Linked DNA regions of Bombyx mori. The protein of the gene in region 2 purifies or fractionates together with the protein of the main gene of each other region. This does not show direct contact. Links are inferred from orthologs where the notes say so. Each region holds a gene or a part of one and is shown on either strand. Other genes may lie near its edges.

Region 1 (8,763 bases), on a different chromosome or scaffold from region 2:
TCCTCTGTCATTAAAAGGCATATCTTCTTGTTGCACAATCAAGCCAGTTACACCTTTCTGACCGTGTCTAGAACTAAACTTGTCACCGATCTCTGGAACTCTGGTTTGCCTTAATAAGATTTTTATCAAGAAAGCATCTTCGGAGTTTGAAGATACCATAACCTTTTCGATGTATGACTCAACTGGCCCTTTGTATGTAACTGGTACATCTTTGTATTCAATTTGTTGCGGTTGTCCTTGAGTGACGGGATTTATCGTAGCCGGCGGCATCTGTTTGTTTATTAAAACTTGCCTATTTTCAACCATTTCACCTGGAGCTGCAATGCCGTCAGAATCCAAAACATCATGAGTTCTAATTACTTTTCCTGTAACTGCATCTCTCGAAGGTCCCAAAATTCGGTCCGATGTTTGATTGCTGTACCGCTTCATTGTTGTTTTCGCACTTTTATAAACTAGACAACGTCCATATCCTCTGTCAATCGAAGCTTTGTTTAGAATCAAAGCGTCTTCTATATCATATCCACTGTAGCTCATTACAGCGACAGTAGCGTTCTGACCAGCTGGCAGTTTATCAAAATTTATCAACTCAATAGTTTTAGACTTCACCATTGGACATTGAGGATAAACAAGGTTATACATTAGAGTATCGATTCTGTTTTTTTGATTGTACCCTATGGTTCCTAAAAGATTAAATAATTAATTCTGTGAATAAACTTTAATTATAAATGATGTAATTTCCAAAATATTTCAGACTTACCCATTGCTTGTTTACCCATAGCACATTGATATGTGTTCCTAGGGCTCTGGTTGTGATGTGGATATGGTACTAAGCCTGCGCACACACCTAATATCGTAAAAGGTTCTATTTCTAGATGAGTAGTGACGTACGGATCAATATCTACTTCACGTGTTGCTATATGACTGTCATTTTCTTCATTTACATCCAAATATTCTATAAGACCATCATTTAAGAAATCTTGGAATTTTCTTATACCTCTATTTAATTCATTTAAATGAGATTGCTGCACTAAGGTATTTCCTCTTTCTACGATTATGTACGGTCGACAGAGCCTGCCGCCGTCACTGCAGATATAAACGGTTCTTTGGTTATGATTGGGATATATGGAGACAAAAGCTGAAATCAATCCTCTTCTCCTGAACATTCTAAAAACTTTAATCAGCCGCTTATACTGTCGAGAAACGCCCAGTATGTTACCTGTAACGGAAACAAACTATAAGTACAGATAACATTTTAATGAGTTTTTTTTTTAAATGTTTTTCAAATACCATTAAGAAAGACAATGTAAACAGCAGGATGATTTATTTCTTCTCCGCCTAGCAGCCTTACGTCTTCAACTCCAGCATTACAGGCCAACTTAGCAATAGGCTCTTCAGAACACTCTGTTGTAATATGCGTCATAAGTGCTAAATTCTTAACAAGACCGCATGCTTCTCCTTCAGGAGTGTCGGAAGGACACAGCATACCCCACTGTGAGGCCTGTAATGACCGTGGTCCAGACACTTTTCTGGTCTTCTCGAATTGGGAATTTACTCTTGTCATCATACCAAGTGCTGATATATAACTGAGGCGACTTAATACTTGTGTGACCCCGTGCCTTTCCATTTTAAAGCGCTTAATTGTCCAATTGCCCTAAAATATTATATCTTATTAGCATGGTATAATGAGTAATTAATGCCCATAAGAAATCGATAAACTGTACTAACACTAGAGATGGCTGTAAACAGTCCATTAGCAATCAAATCCGGTCTCATATGCTTCACAACATCAAAGGGGGCAGCTTTAACTTTAGGTATTATTTTATCGGCTATACTCTTCAATTCCCAGTTGAATCTTTTGAATAAATCTTCAAACATAAGTGCCAATAAAGACCCCGCCAATTCAAGCCTTTTGTTCCCATAGTAATCTGGATCGTCTATTGCAGTTTTATTTGTTTCGGCTTCAATTACCCTTTTCACCATTATCGCAAGGTAAATGGCCTTTACGTAGAAATTGTAATTCTCAACCGATACGTGAGCTAATATAGTCGTAGCTAATAGTTCACGAGCGTCATCAATTGGTGAGCGTACTTTTGTGTTTCCACCTTGATACCTTTACATTTAAAACAAAAATAGATTTTAATAGGTACTGTATGGAAAATGTGGAAGCATTTAAATATATGTAATGGCAATGGTTAAGGTTTAAATGTACGTTTATTTTTTAACTATAAGCATATTAGATCTATCAAACGGTATTTTTATATGAATGCTCGCAAGGGATGGAAGACTGTAAGTACACTTTCACTGCTGAATTGGATTTATTTCAACTTCTCCCGCGTTCTATATAGATATCTTTTTCCAGGCCCAATTTGTCATATACTGGACTACTTTCCTTGGACATATTTTCTCTATCTCCTCAGCACAAAGAGCGTACTTTATCACAATTTAGCATAGATTTTTAACGAAATTAAATTATGAACGCGTTCAATATATTATTAGTCGCGAACATTTAAAACAATTAGTAACTATTAAGTAATTTGATTACAAAAAAAGCTTACAGAAACAGCGGGGTAGTAAAATATTTTTATTTATATATGCACTAAACAGTGATAAATTAGATGTAAAATGAAACCTTACCTTTTTACTTTTAGTTTACTTCCTATATAAGTCAGAGCTTGATTTTGAGTAAATATTTTCAAATTATGGCAATCTAGAATACAAGGTGCCATTTTTTTTATTGTATTATCGTCAGTACCTACAAGCTGCATTATTTCTTGATCACTACATATGCCCATGGCTTTAAAGGCGACAGCTATTGGAATATCCTGAATATAAAAAAATACAAATTAGTGGAAACTACATAATTGGAAATTATTTATTTTAGCTTTTGAAATAGCTTTTGTAATTTTGAAGGGAAGAAGTCCAATTCAAAACATATTATGGTTTTATTTTTATTTTTTATTGCTTAGATGTGTGGACGAGCTCACAGCCCACCTGGTGTTAAGTGGTTACTGGAGCCCATAGACATCTACAAGGTAAATGCTCCACACACCTTGAGATATAGTTCTAAGATCTCAGTATAGTCACAACGGCTGCCCAACCCTTCAAACCGAAACGCATTACTGCTTCACGGCAGAAATAGGCAGGGTGGTGGTACCTACCCGTGCGGACTCACAAGAGGTCCTACCACCAGTAAAAAATACATATATAGCTTTGATTATTGTTTGTTAAATGAAATTGATTTAAGTAGTAACATACATCAGACAATGCATTATGTCTGAGCACATATTTTCCATGTTTAAGAATCACATTCGTTCTAGTTTTCTTCTCATGTGTGGAACTTGTAACCTGACATTGTACTGCTCCTTTGAATTCATCAACAATCATTCGATTTCTAGAGAGTTGCTCTTGAATTAAAATCACCTTTTCTTGACCTACAGACAATAAAAATTGTTTTTCATTACTCAAGTAAACTACATATATATGTACTTATACAGGTGTCCTGAAACTCAAGGTCAAGCGGGTACGGGGCTAGGTACTACTCGTGCAGGGAAAAATAAAAACAAAAATACATTTCATTTTAAAAACCATACATCCATTGAACTTCTATTAAAGGGGCTGCATAAATGAAAAAGCGTACATGAAGCCAATATAAAACTAACTGAATTCACTCCATGTAACTGTATGCAATAGTGATCGAATAATAAAATATTGTCACTCTTGAAATCAAAACCAATAGTGTTCGGATCCCAAAACTGTTTTCTTTTTTTTTTAGAAATTTAGATAAATTTTAGCATATTTTTTGGCTATGCTACTCAATCAGATCATCTCTTTGAACGTTCAAACGCAGTTATTTTTACAGTATCGTTAAAATGATAATTTGAATTTGATTGTCTTTAACTTTGTTTTAGAGCACTGTTAATAAATGTGTTTCATTAAAACCATATTATTTTGTCTAGAAACCTAGCTCATAACTGTATATTCACAGAGAACTCAGTATTTCATTCATTTAGACCACAAAAAAAAACCCAAATGTAGTGTGAAATGCAACCTTAATGTGGTCAATGTTAGGTTATTATGCTTTAAGTCTTGCCAAATTTTTTATTCTATGTATTTTTAACTTAAAGTTTTTCTTTATATTTATTTATTATATTTCTTTATATTATATTTATTTAAATTTTCGTTTATTTTTATTCTGACTAAATATAAGGCTCCCAATGTACTTTACTCCAGATTAACAAATTAATAAAATTTAACTTTATGATTACAATTATTACACATTTAAATATTTTATGTACATTTTACATTTATATACATTGGAGTTTTTTTTTAATATTAGTTGTATAAAATTAAATTGGTTTCTTACCTCTTATAATAAAATAGCCTCCAGGATCATGGGGACACTCATTTAACTGTGCAAGCTCAAAATCCGATTTATTAGTAAGAACGCAGTTTGAAGACCTAAGCATGAGGGGCATTCTGTAAAGAATCAAAATACAGATTTCAAAATGATATATGAGAGTGATGTTAATAATAGGTATATAATTTAATTACATTTCAAATGGCCAGTATTGTTAAACTTCATAAGCAAAGACCTAATGTTAAAGTAATTAAAGGAATCATTAACATGTTAAAAATTTGTGATACTATTACTTTGATATTGACACAAAAACTGTTTTTACTTTGACTACTTTATTAATACTTTGACAGACATGTGTCGTGAAGATAGGTAAAAGGCAGATGATGAACTACTTAAATTCCTACATCATCAATAGTTGCAGCCCATAAGTCAATCAATTTTTAACTGAGTTACATTGGGTGGGGTGGACAAACAATAAAACATAATTTCTCTGTCGAGCTTTTCATTGAATTGTTTTTAAGATAGGATATTTTCAATTGGGAGTACAGAATGTTAAATTCATTTGATATGTATAATACAGAATTTTTTAAAGCCTGGAATGTTCTGCTTTTTAGTGAGTAAGATCAAGATATAGTAATAGATCAAGCAACATTACATCTGCTAGTATTAGAATATGCATTTCTTCATTTATTTAAGATGTTACCTTCCAATCAGTTGTTTATTTTTGATCACCCTCTGGTTTCCTCTAATATATTCTATATCAACAGTTATAGGAGCTGAGTATGTTATATCTCTAAGACGACATTCATGAGGTGTCGTTGGCTTAGTGATATTGAACCCTTCTTCCAAGTCAGGTGTACCAACATAGGCATTTAAATATTTAATATAGAACAGTGGATCAGATTCACAAAATACTTTTTCATTAGCCTGTACTATCTTCTTTATCTCCACATTTATGAAGTAATTAAATGAATCTATGTGCTGTTTCACCAAACCTTTAACTTGAAGAAATGAAGGCACTAATTTCCATTTATCCTGAAAGAAAACATTCATATGAACAGTGTTAAGCTGAAATATTAGAAATTTAAGATAAAATCAGGACGTCAGTAAATTGTACTATTTTTTTCTAAGATTTTTATGATGTTATTCTATAAAATTCATACATTTTATTATTCAAATAATTATGATCATACTTTGGTAGGGTTTTGAACTCAACTGTATATTGTCACTTACAACTTTTGTTACTATACAATTGAACTTTGGAGTGATTAAATATCAATGAATGAACAAAATCTTAAAGACAGTTATATGATTTTGTTGTTTGGTTAGTAGTAATATTATAGTTCGTGTATTTTTTTTTCAATTGTGTATCAAAACAATAGTAGTAATTCAGAAAAGTAATAAAGCTAGTACCTCAAGGGTTTTGACAGGGTCCCGTAATCCTTTGGTATCCCACTCATTTTGTTTTTTATTAAGTTCGCCCATCATGTAAATTAAATAAGCTATTGTAATATTGAACTATCTTCGGCAGTAAATCATATTGTCCGTATTTACCAAGCGATGGAATCTTGGAATTGTTTTATAGAATGGAACAAATCAGATGAGTACATATGTAAACAATAAGTGCAATTTTTAACAACGAACAAACACGAGCACAATTCTGCACATTTAATTACAAACTTTAAACTCATAGATATTTTTTTGGTACAATTTTTCCTTTAAGAAAGGCAAGGGGATCTAAGCCCATACAGCGTGCCCATAAATAATTTTTAAATCCATCTATACTTTTTTTAAGGGATTTTATGACCTGGTAACTAAAACCAAGTCAAGGTCAAGTCTTATTTTAATTTTAATGAAAAGTTTTTTTAGGTAAATGAAAAATAATATTATGAAATGAAATAAAGTCGATTAATATAAAACATGGCATGAAATGAAATGAAATTAAAACGAAATAAAATGAGATGAGGTGATATGGGATGAAATATAATCTCAGTAAAACGGTGGTCATTTACTGAGACTTTTTCAGTGGATTTTCGAGGATCCCGAGAAGTTACGTTCAGCAGCTTTGTTTCATTTTCCCACATTTATGCACTTTCACAGATAATAGACAGTTAATAAACCACCGATTACCTATTTAAAGCGCCTTATTCACGATCCATCTTGCTGTACGTCCCGCCAAGGCCATGCACGATGCACGATGCAAAAGGATCATGAATAGGCTTGACGTACGTCGATAATTATTATTAATTGCGGCCTTGAGCTGACGTACAGTCGTGATGGATCGTGAATAAGGCGCTTAAACCTGAAGAAACTCTAAATAAACAAAAAAAAAAGGGTGCGTGTACTTATGTACGCGCGTAAGAAGTTAAACTTTATTTTTATTAAAGAACATCCTCAAACACGCATATTGGACATCCCTTTTCTTGACATCGTATAAATTCGGTAATTCTCGGTACGGTTCGGACAATACACGACGACCTGGGCCTTGAATCAATCCAGAAATACATGAAGTCAGCGTCGGAACGGTACTTCGATAAGGATATGCGTCATGATAATCGCCTTATCGTTGCCGCCGCTGACTACTCACCGAATCCTGATCATGCAGGAGCCAGTCACCGTCGACGCCCTAGACACGTCCTTACGGATCCATCAGATCCAATAACCTTTGCATTAGATGCCTTCAGCTCTAATACTAGGAGCAGGCTTAGGGACCCCAGTAACCGTACTCGTCGAACTCGACAAAGAGGTCGACGTGCAACCTAGCCCATGCATCAGCCCGCTGAGCTTCTCACCGGATCTTCTCAGCGGGTCGCGATTCCGATCCGGTAGTAGATTCATTCGCGAAGCAATTGCTCTTGAGTTGTTAGGTCTCCTTCGGAGGCGCTCGGGCAGCTGTTAGCAAATCCCACCCCTCCTGGCTGAGCCTTTGCTCGCCCACCTGTCCTGGTGAAACTGGAAAGGCCTTCGGGCCACCAGTAATCTCTCAATCATAAAAAAAAAAAAAAAAACGGTTCGGACATAACTCTCAAACACAGCCCACTCTCGCCGGATCTTCTCAGTGGGTCGCGTTTCCGATCCGGTGGTAGATTCCGCGAAGCACGGCTCTTGCTAGGGTTCGTGTTATCATCGTTGTCAGGTTTGAGCCCCGTGAGCTCACCTACTAGCCACGGTTACGCTGGAATAGCCGCTCCAGGCTACCAGATTAGGCAGGAAAAAAAAAAACGGTTCGGATCACTTCGACAAAGCGGCACGACACGAGAACCCTCTCATCGTGGCCGCCGGTAACTACATTCCCGATCCTGCGGAAAGAATGGAAAGCAGTCGACGTCGCCCAAAACACGTCATTTTGGATCCTTCCGATCCACTAACGGTGCTTTTAGGTACTTCAAGCACCGGTCACCGTTCTCGTCGAACCCGTCGCTTGCGACGAAGGGCTCGACGAGCAAATTAACCCTCAGACACAGCCCACTGAGTTTCTCGCCGGATCTTCTCAGTGGGTCGCGTTTCCGATCCGGTGGTAGATTCCGCGAAGCACGGCTCTTGCTAGGGTTCGTGTTATCATCGTTGTCAGGTTTGAGCCCCGTGAGCTCACCTACTAGCCACGGTTACGCTGGAATAGCCGCTCCAGGCTACCAGATTAGGCAGGAAAAAAAAAAAACGGTTCGGATCACTTCGACAAAGCGGCACGACACGAGAACCCTCTCATCGTGGCCGCCGGTAACTACATTCCCGATCCTGCGGAAAGAATGGAAAGCAGTCGACGTCGCCCAAAACACGTAATTTGGATCCTTCCGATCCACTAACGGTGCTTTTAGGTACTTCAAGCACCGGTCACCGTTCTCGTCGAACCCGTCGCTTGCGACGAAGGGCTCGACGAGCAAATTAACCCTCAGACACAGCCCACTGAGTTTCTCGCCGGATCTTCTCAGTGGATCGCGTTTCCGATCCGGTGGTAGATTCTGCGAAGCACGGCTCTTGCAAGGGTTCGTGTTAGCAACGTCGTCAGGTTTGAGCCCCGTGAGCTCACCTACTAGTTAAGGTTACGCTGGAATAGCCTCTCAAGGCAACCAGCTTAGGTAGGAAAAAAAAAAAGAAAAAAAAAAACATTTCCGAAAGTTCACCTGCGGCTATATTCAGACTCGCCAAGTTACGTCGGTCGTATTGTAATGAGCGATTTAGTGGGCAACTTCATTCTGTTAATTTTGTATCACGGTGCGCGCGCATCGTAAAATTTCACTCTCATCATATTTTTTTAATCCATAGATTTTTTTTTTGTACAATTTTTCCTTATTACGAAAGGCAAGGGGATCTAAGCCCATCCAGCCTTGTCTATTCCATAGATAATATACTTAATATTTGAGTTCAATCTGATGATACAGGGAATCGTTGATTAAAACTGTTACTGT
Region 2 (8,299 bases):
TGTCATAATTATTAAGGTACAAAATGTATTTAAGTACCACCATAATAAATAACTATCTATTAAAATATATATGTACATAATCGATAAAAACCTAAATCTACCATTATGATCAAGAAGCTTATAGCAACAGAAAGGCATCGACGCTAATCAATGATTTATAATTATAGGCTCCTAATTCTAAAACTTATACAAAAAATCTGCTATACGTTTTAATTGAAAAAACTGTTGAAATAGACATTCAAGCGGAAACGATAAATCGTATCAGTCTCGAGAGGCGACATAAAGTGCGGTAAATAAAAAAATAAATATTTTAAACAAAATAACATGCATACTTAAATAATTCACATCTACAAATAATGTTTCTAATATTAATCCAATTCCGGATTGGCATGAAAGAAAAATGATAATATTCAATATAATTTCAATTGAATGCCTATTTACTGGTATTGTCATTATTCACATTATTTTAAATCATACATGATCCATCCTTTCATCTCTCATTACAGACGGGACTCTATCAATTTTACTTGCCCTTGTTTACCATTACTTATAAGATCAAACCGTTTACAATTTAAATAACAAAATCAAAATTCGATATGTTACTCAAAAATGTGATCCGACGTTATAATTCTCGCACTATCCAATAAAATTGTTTCCAATTCTTTGCTATTCCATTGTTGTGCGAGCGGCTCTTTTTCCATTTAAGCCAGTGTGCTTAGTGCGAGTTTTTTTAACGTTCTCGATAGCGTAAAAGTTAGGTCATATTTGTATGGAATGGGATCGCTTGCGTACGTTTGCCGCTAGGGGCGGTTCCAATTGCATACAAAATTGGCTTAACTTTTACGTTATCGAGAACGTTCAGAAGCTCGCACTAAGCACACAGGTGGCCTGTAAGCGGTCTTATCTACAATAATAAGTTGTTCTAACTGATTAAATCCATCTAATAAAATTTCAATGGTTCGGTACTAAACGTTTCATATTAAACGTCCCCAAGCTAGGGTTTTCCCCTTTGTTATAATGGGTGCTTGAAAGTTAAACATGACAAATGTATGTACATTTAGTCCTCGAATGCCAAATGTTTTTAATGAAGAAGCTGACTTCGAATTTAAAGAGGACTCTGTGATACAATAGGTAGCTAAAGTCAACTCTACTAATTCAGCAAAGCCATAAATACATATTTAAATGCGTATTTTACAGAATACAAATAGCTCATTTCCATATTAGTTTTTCAATGAAATTATCTCCTCTGTTAGCCACTAGTATGATTTTAAATAAATACATAATTATTATTTTCAAAACACTTGCGAATAGAAATATAAGCTTTTTAAAGATAATCATTTAGTTATTTCAAGTTTAAAATGATTTTTAATTGATATTTTTCTATGTAATTTTTATATTTCAACTACCGATAAATTGAAATTTATTACGTCATCTGTATAGTTCTCTAATTGGGACATAATATAAATTCGAGACAGAACATGTAAAGTTACTTGATCATAAACTGTCATGATTTTGTATTTTGTTTCCAAGAATGTTATTTGTATGTGCTATAAACTTTTTGATTATGATTAGTGAGTTGGTAACTATAGAATGGAATTAAATCTCTTTATTCAAATTTTCTTTATGCATGTGTATACCCATAGCATGTTTATATTCACTATTATATAACGTAAGCAAAAAGTTGACTTAGAGGAATGTGTGAAAAATTAAATTTGATATTAATGTCGTGAGTCCTAACAATTATTTATTGATAGTTTTTATGGATCGAAAAAAAATGTATATTTGTGGCTATTGTAAAATTTTAGACATACATTTTCTGGTGTTTTATTATGAGAGGTAATAATTTTAATAAATTGTTAAAACTTTATAATGATGAAGTTACATAATTAAAATACACTGAGATATTTCCCTTTTGTTTTTTTTATTAGTTGTTATTATTTAACGGAAGTTTTACGAAAGTACTCCATATTGACACTTTGCGTCTGGCGCCACTAGCGGTGTCGTGTGCAAAACTGGCCAACGGTCACACGTAAATGCCGCCACCCATGTTTACGATTAAAGGAATAACATCGTGTAATGAAAATCAAACCCGCAAAATTATAATTTGCGTAATTACTGGTGGTAGGACCTCTTGTGAGACCGCGCGGGTAGGTACCACCGCCCTGCTTATTTCTGCCGTGAAGCAGTAATGCGTTTCGGTTTGAAGGGTGAAGCAGCCGTTGTAATTATACTTGAGACCTTAGAACTTTATCTCAAGGTGGGTGGCGCATTTACGTTGTAGATGTCTATGGGCTCCAGTAACCACTTAACACCTGGTGGGCTGTGAGCTCATTCACCCATCGAAGCAATAAAAAAAAAAGATAATGAACTCATTTGATATCTATCTATAAAGTTACATATTTTTCTTGCACTTAAGTCTTTTTTTTTTAAGGCAGTAGTTCATTTAGAAACATCAAATAAGTTGATTGATACTTCAAATCATTCAGATTACTTATATCTATTGGGTACAATTTAGAACACATATATCATGGCGGTAGGTGGCATTCATGTTTTAATGTCTATGGGCTACCACCAGTATATAATGTAAAGTGATGATGTAGATCTATAAATCTACTATAAAAAAACTACCTTGTATATATTTTTTTTCATTGGTCAGTATTATTAGAGCATAGACAAAGTAACAAAAATACACATTAACCTTATTATAAATTTATTTCACTCTTCTGTGCATGATGTATCCACCGAACTTATCTTCTAGGGTTTTGTTTCCAGAATTCGTTTACCGAGCGTCAAACACAACCACTGAATTCTTACTTAAGGAAAATTTTTCAGAATATTACGAACAAAAATATGATGAATTTAAAATCAACACAAACTACAAAAAGGGTAATTTTCTGAAGATTTTAACAGATATGAGTCGTCTATTATCAAAGGTGGCAATCTGTACATTTGGACAATTTTTTTTTATTGATATGTCAATACAGATTTATTTGAATATAATCGTCTCCTTCAAAGAATACGGTTCAAAACCTGCATTAAATAAAGGTTAATAGTTAACCTGTTATTTATCTAAGATGTCGTTCCGAAGAGTTTTGTGACTGCCAATGGAATACAAAGTCAATAATTCGTTTTTCTGATTTACCAATCATTGTCCAAAAGTCAGATTGCCGCCTTTGATAATAGTCGACTCATTTATTACATTTATTTTCTTGCAAGCTCAATGTGATCTAAAGGATAAAACAGATGGTGTAGTTGTGTCAAGCTGTGCAACCATGCAAATGTGCAAATTGCATATACCAATATCCAAAGAAATATACTCTCGAAATGTGATCACGAATCACTTCCACAATGAAGGAATTAAATATGGGTGATACCTGTCAATACCTTTCTACTGATTAAAATCACTAGGCTGTATCCTAGTCCTATAATCTTTACTTTAAGAATATATTTATAGAATCAAAAGGATACGTCTTTTTGTTCTTTTCTTGTACATTATTCTGTAACCACATTCTCTGCACCTAATAGGATCTCTTGGTTTGATTTCATTCTCTTTGTGACATTCTGAAAATGATAATGAAAGCATCATTTGTTTTGCAGACCCATATTATAGTTTCAGGATTGCATTTATTAAAGAAACCAACATTTAAACAGTTGAAGTAGATGATCGGCAAAAACAATAATGTAGAAAAGGGCAAACAATATAATTTACTCTCAATTGAATCAATTTCATTTTTCTAATACTTTTAAGTTTAGGTTTTTTAAATTTTAATATTAATATTAACAAGTTTTATTAAAAGCACTTAAGCTTTTACGGCTTTTAGCTTTACTAAAGAACATTTATATTTATACAGATGCATTCCCCATTTGAAATATAGTAAAACAATAACACATTAAACAAAACGCCTTAATTTATACAATGTTATAAGACAGTGTGAATAATTTTATAATCTACTATACACAAAAGACAAATTAACTGATTTATTAATTCTTTGTTTAGTAGACATTGACAAGCTTAGTGTTATCGGTAAGAACATTTTAAAAGTAGTTTCTTTCTTTTTTCTATAAAAAATGTTCATAAATCAAGAGAAAAAGAAATACAAAAAAAATATTCAATTATTGGGGTATGCTGATACCTAACAATTATTAGGTTATTTTGTGTTAGTGTTTTACAAAGTGATAGAAGTTTTGTTATTATTTGGTTACACTGTACCTCCACAAACATATATCATTGGCACTTTAGTAACTGATTGCTCTTTCCCAGTTGTGTCAGCCATTATGTGCTAAAATAGAGAAAAATTAAATAATAATAAAAAATGTGTTTTATTTTAAATCACCAATTTGATTTAAGCTTTATATTAAGTGTATAATCTATGCTTTGGATTGTTATTTTGTGTGTAGAATCTATGGTTTTTGGATTTGTTTAATTAAGCCGCAAAGGGAACTTAAACCATAAAACGTTTTGTTCAAAAGAGGGCTTGTCTTGTTGAAGAAAAAAATACGTAAAAAAAGGAGTGGAAATTTAAAAGAAAAAATCATCGGGACATTGGAGGGGAACCGAGGATTATTTTTAATTATTTGTTCGTCGTTTGATCGTCAATGTTTGAATGTAAAATTATCTGTTCGTCTTTTATTTATTTATAATTAATTAAACAAATGATCACCCTTCAGTTGGCCCCTCTTACTAGATATCTTTGTTTTTATTGCTCAGATTAATTAATTTTGATCAATTATTGTTTGTTCGACGACTATTGGTGATTGTTCGATCATAAAAACAAGTAAATTCGAAATTATTAATTATTTTATATCTAATAAGCAAATTATCACCTCACGCCTACATTGCGCATGCGCCGGTTTTGTCAGTCAGATGGCAATGGCCGACGGCCGTATTTACTACCTTTTTGTTACGCGCGAACATTAACGAACAAACGACGAACAAATAATTAAAAATTAAAAAAATCGAAAATTAAAAAAGGGGACCAAATTCAGTGAGCCGTAAAGCAAATAAATGGCATATTTTTTTACATTTTATTTATGGATTGAGTTAGCTAATCTGTGCATTAAGCTCCCAAACATAGAAAAACAGACTTTTTGGCGGGAACGCGAGGAGTGATATTGTGTGATTTGTTATATTTTGTCTATTTAGTGTTTCTTCGGGTTTAAATGTGTAATAATGGTGGTTTATTAGCAGTTTAATATCTGTGAAAGTGCACAAATGTGGGAAAATGGAACAAAGCCGCTGGACGTAACTTCTCGGGATCCTCCAAAAAGTCCACTGAAAAATCTTAGTAAATGACCACCATTTTACTGAGATTATATTTCATCCCATATTTTCTCATTTCATTTCGTTTTCATTTCATTTCATGCCATGTTTCACAATAATCAACTTCATTTCATTTAATAATATCATTTTTCATATAAAAAAGTTATCATTAAAATTAAAATAAGACTTGACCTAAAGGTCTTAGTTACCAGGTCATAAAATCCCTTAAAAAAACAAACATAGTAAACAAAGAAATAAATATTTTTTCATTTTTTTCCCTACCTGCACCTGCCTATTCGCTTAATACTCGGCAAACTTCTTGAGCATTAGTTGACGTAGTGGGGGTAAGTTCGCGCATCGTACAATTACGTACAAAAATGTTAAGTTATTAAAAACAACATAATATGTATTTATTTATATATTTATTAGTACATGAACAAAAAATACAGGTTAATAATTGTAGTAATTTAATCTAGGGGTAAAATAGATATTCCTTCCATTAGGTCAAAACTAGGAGCTGGTGCCAGGTCTTGGATCAGCTGAAGCTGAGCTGGTATTTTTAATTGTTTTTTCGCTATCATAATCATGACCATCATCATCATCATCACTACTTTCTTCATCCGTGTCGCAATCATCGTCAGCAAAAATTACAAACTCATCAGTGACTAAATCTACCACATGATCACTTTTTACATACTCCGCCTCAATATCTTTTATCTTTTGACATATTCTACCCCATTCCGGAGCACCCATCACCGCGACCTTTTCCTTCACTAGCTCTATTACTTTGCCAGTGCTCCAGTCGACATTTTTGCTACTGACATACCCTTTAATAGCTGCCCAAGCCATTTCAATTGGGTTGAGGTCTGGATGGTATGGAGGTAAGCGAAGCACTGAATGGTTGTGGTTTGATAAAATTTTATCAATGCTGTATGTTTTGTGTTGTTCCTTATGTGCTTTAATCAAGCTAAAAAGCTGGGGTTTCAACATGTTTTCATCGTATGGAATTTCTTTTTCTTGTAACCATTTCTTCATATAGACTTTTTTGGCATTGGCAGTTGGAGCGGGGTCAGACTGTTTATAGTGATATGACGCATTGTTGACTACTACAACGGAATTTGGTGGCAGATTTGGTAGCAATTGACAACGCAGCCATTTTTCGTAGTTCAAATAGTTCATGTTATCGTGGTAGTCACCAGATTTTGTGCCAGCTTTAAACAAAAGAAGGGCATTGGGAACAAATCCATCTTCGGAGCCAGCATGCACTATTACTACACGCTGTCCTTTCGAAATTGGTTTTTTTAAACCCCCAGTTGATCCATCTGACCACGACATACCACTTGCATGTGATGAGTCGACATAGGACTCATCGGTGTACACTATCGGTCTTCCTTCTTGCCTATATTTAATTATTTTTTGGAGATATTCGATCCTTAGTAGTCGAATATTACTTTTTTCAATTAATAGCTTCCGATTATTTTCTGTTCTTTTCCATCTGAAGCCTAGCTCTTTCATAATTCGTCGTAAACTTCGTTCCGAGCCATTAAAATTTATATCTTCTTTCAATTTTTTACGAAGTCTTTCGACGGTAGGAAGTTCGCTGTTTGTTATGTGATAATTATGAATACATCTTTTTATTGCAGATTGGTCGAAACTATCAATTCCGGTAACTTTCTTCTTCCCTGATCTTTTTTTACCTGGAGTACGAAACACGGCGAGCAAGTTAGAGCCCTTCGCTTCATTAATAATACGCCTAACAGTACTGACTGATGTTTTTGTTGCCTCTGAAGTCTCTTTTACCGTTTCCATATCATTATTTCCCTGCTTTTTAAGAAAGCAATATACGTCGTACACCATTTTTCTAGCTTGTCTTTTTAATACTACACCAGTTTGACGTGGCATAGTATATTTTTTATAAAAAATCAAGAAACACTCAACAAATAGCAATAACAACAAAATCAACAAACAATAATAATTATAACAAATAACTTCAACGATTAATATTAATAGACTTTTCACTGTACGCAAGCGTACTTTTGGGAGCAAGCGGAACGAGTCTCAAATATATTAAGTGTATAATCTATGGGAACGAGGGCGCGGTGCGGGACGCAAGGTTCGACTGATCTACCAACAACGCGCTCGATACGATTTCCCCTGCCGTCGCGCCTCACCCTCACCACCAAAGTGATCTAAAATTCGGTTCTGCGCAGTCAAGGTCATTTGCTCACAAAGTTTACCGCATAGAGTAAGATTATATATTGTTTACCGGTTACAGCTGGCTATTTCAGCTTCTCAGTACTTCTCACCGACGGGTAGGTGAGCTCACCTCACTAGCTAAACCTGAGAGAATTTGCTAACACTAGGCCTAACAAAAATAGTCGCAGAATTCGCAGAATCTTCCACCGGATAAATATATAATAATAAATAATAATAATAATAAATTAAATATCGTTTGTATTCGGGTAATAACGCGCGGAAGAGAATATTTTTTTAATATTATTTTGTGTTTGTAGCATGTACTTTTTAAAAGATGCGTTTCTTAGATAATTTTGATCCTAAAAATTCAGCTCGTGAACGTAGAAAAGCAAACAGGAAAAAATATTTCACTTCGTAAGTTGAAACAATTTCTATTCTATTGAATCCGTTCAAGTCTGAATTTGTAATATATATAAATATATTTTCATCAATTTAATAGTCAATATTTCTAATGTTGCAGTCGAAAAGTGAAGAGAATTTATGATGACCACGGTCATATTGCTGAAACTGGCAAAGACTTGTGTGATTGCCTCGATGAGAAGTGTCCCGGATGCCATTTTCCATGTGCAAACTGCAATTCCAATAAATGTGGCCATGAGTGCAGGTATAAACAATATATTAATTTTAAACAATAATTAATCTTTCAAAATAATCATGGATATCAGATAGAGATAAATGCTGTGGTACAACACTTATTACTGGTTGTAGGACGTCTTAGAAGTCCACACGGGAAGGTACCACCACCCTGCCTATTTCTGCTGTGAAGCAGTAGGTAATGCGTTT

What was found.
Region 1: the proteins of DNA-directed RNA polymerases I, II, and III subunit RPABC4 (region 2) and DNA-directed RNA polymerase III subunit RPC2 purify together in Homo sapiens (affinity purification with mass spectrometry; 3 studies listed by BioGRID and IntAct, with this or other methods). This does not show direct contact. The link is inferred for Bombyx mori from reciprocal best matches to the Homo sapiens genes POLR2K and POLR3B.

The regions. Positions count from the first base shown.
Region 1 is NC_085116.1:7,718,852-7,727,614, reverse strand, and holds the start of DNA-directed RNA polymerase III subunit RPC2, read right to left. Parts: upstream 6,073-8,763; 5' UTR 5,846-6,072; coding exon 5,771-5,845; intron 5,393-5,770; coding exon 5,061-5,392; intron 4,477-5,060; coding exon 4,364-4,476; intron 3,432-4,363; coding exon 3,256-3,431; intron 2,823-3,255; coding exon 2,635-2,822; intron 2,111-2,634; coding exon 1,726-2,110; intron 1,652-1,725; coding exon 1,288-1,651; intron 1,217-1,287; coding exon 758-1,216; intron 681-757; coding exon 1-680. UniProt on the Homo sapiens protein: Catalytic core component of RNA polymerase III (Pol III), a DNA-dependent RNA polymerase which synthesizes small non-coding RNAs using the four ribonucleoside triphosphates as substrates.
Region 2 is NC_085111.1:12,246,801-12,255,099, reverse strand, and holds DNA-directed RNA polymerases I, II, and III subunit RPABC4, read right to left. Parts: upstream 4,468-8,299; 5' UTR 4,275-4,467; coding exon 4,211-4,274; intron 3,562-4,210; coding exon 3,469-3,561; intron 2,803-3,468; coding exon 2,780-2,802; 3' UTR 2,630-2,779; downstream 1-2,629. Other genes in the region: uncharacterized protein LOC119628526, read right to left, coding at 5,771-6,439; ARL14 effector protein-like, read left to right, coding at 7,791-7,870, 7,977-8,120. UniProt on the Homo sapiens protein: DNA-dependent RNA polymerase catalyzes the transcription of DNA into RNA using the four ribonucleoside triphosphates as substrates.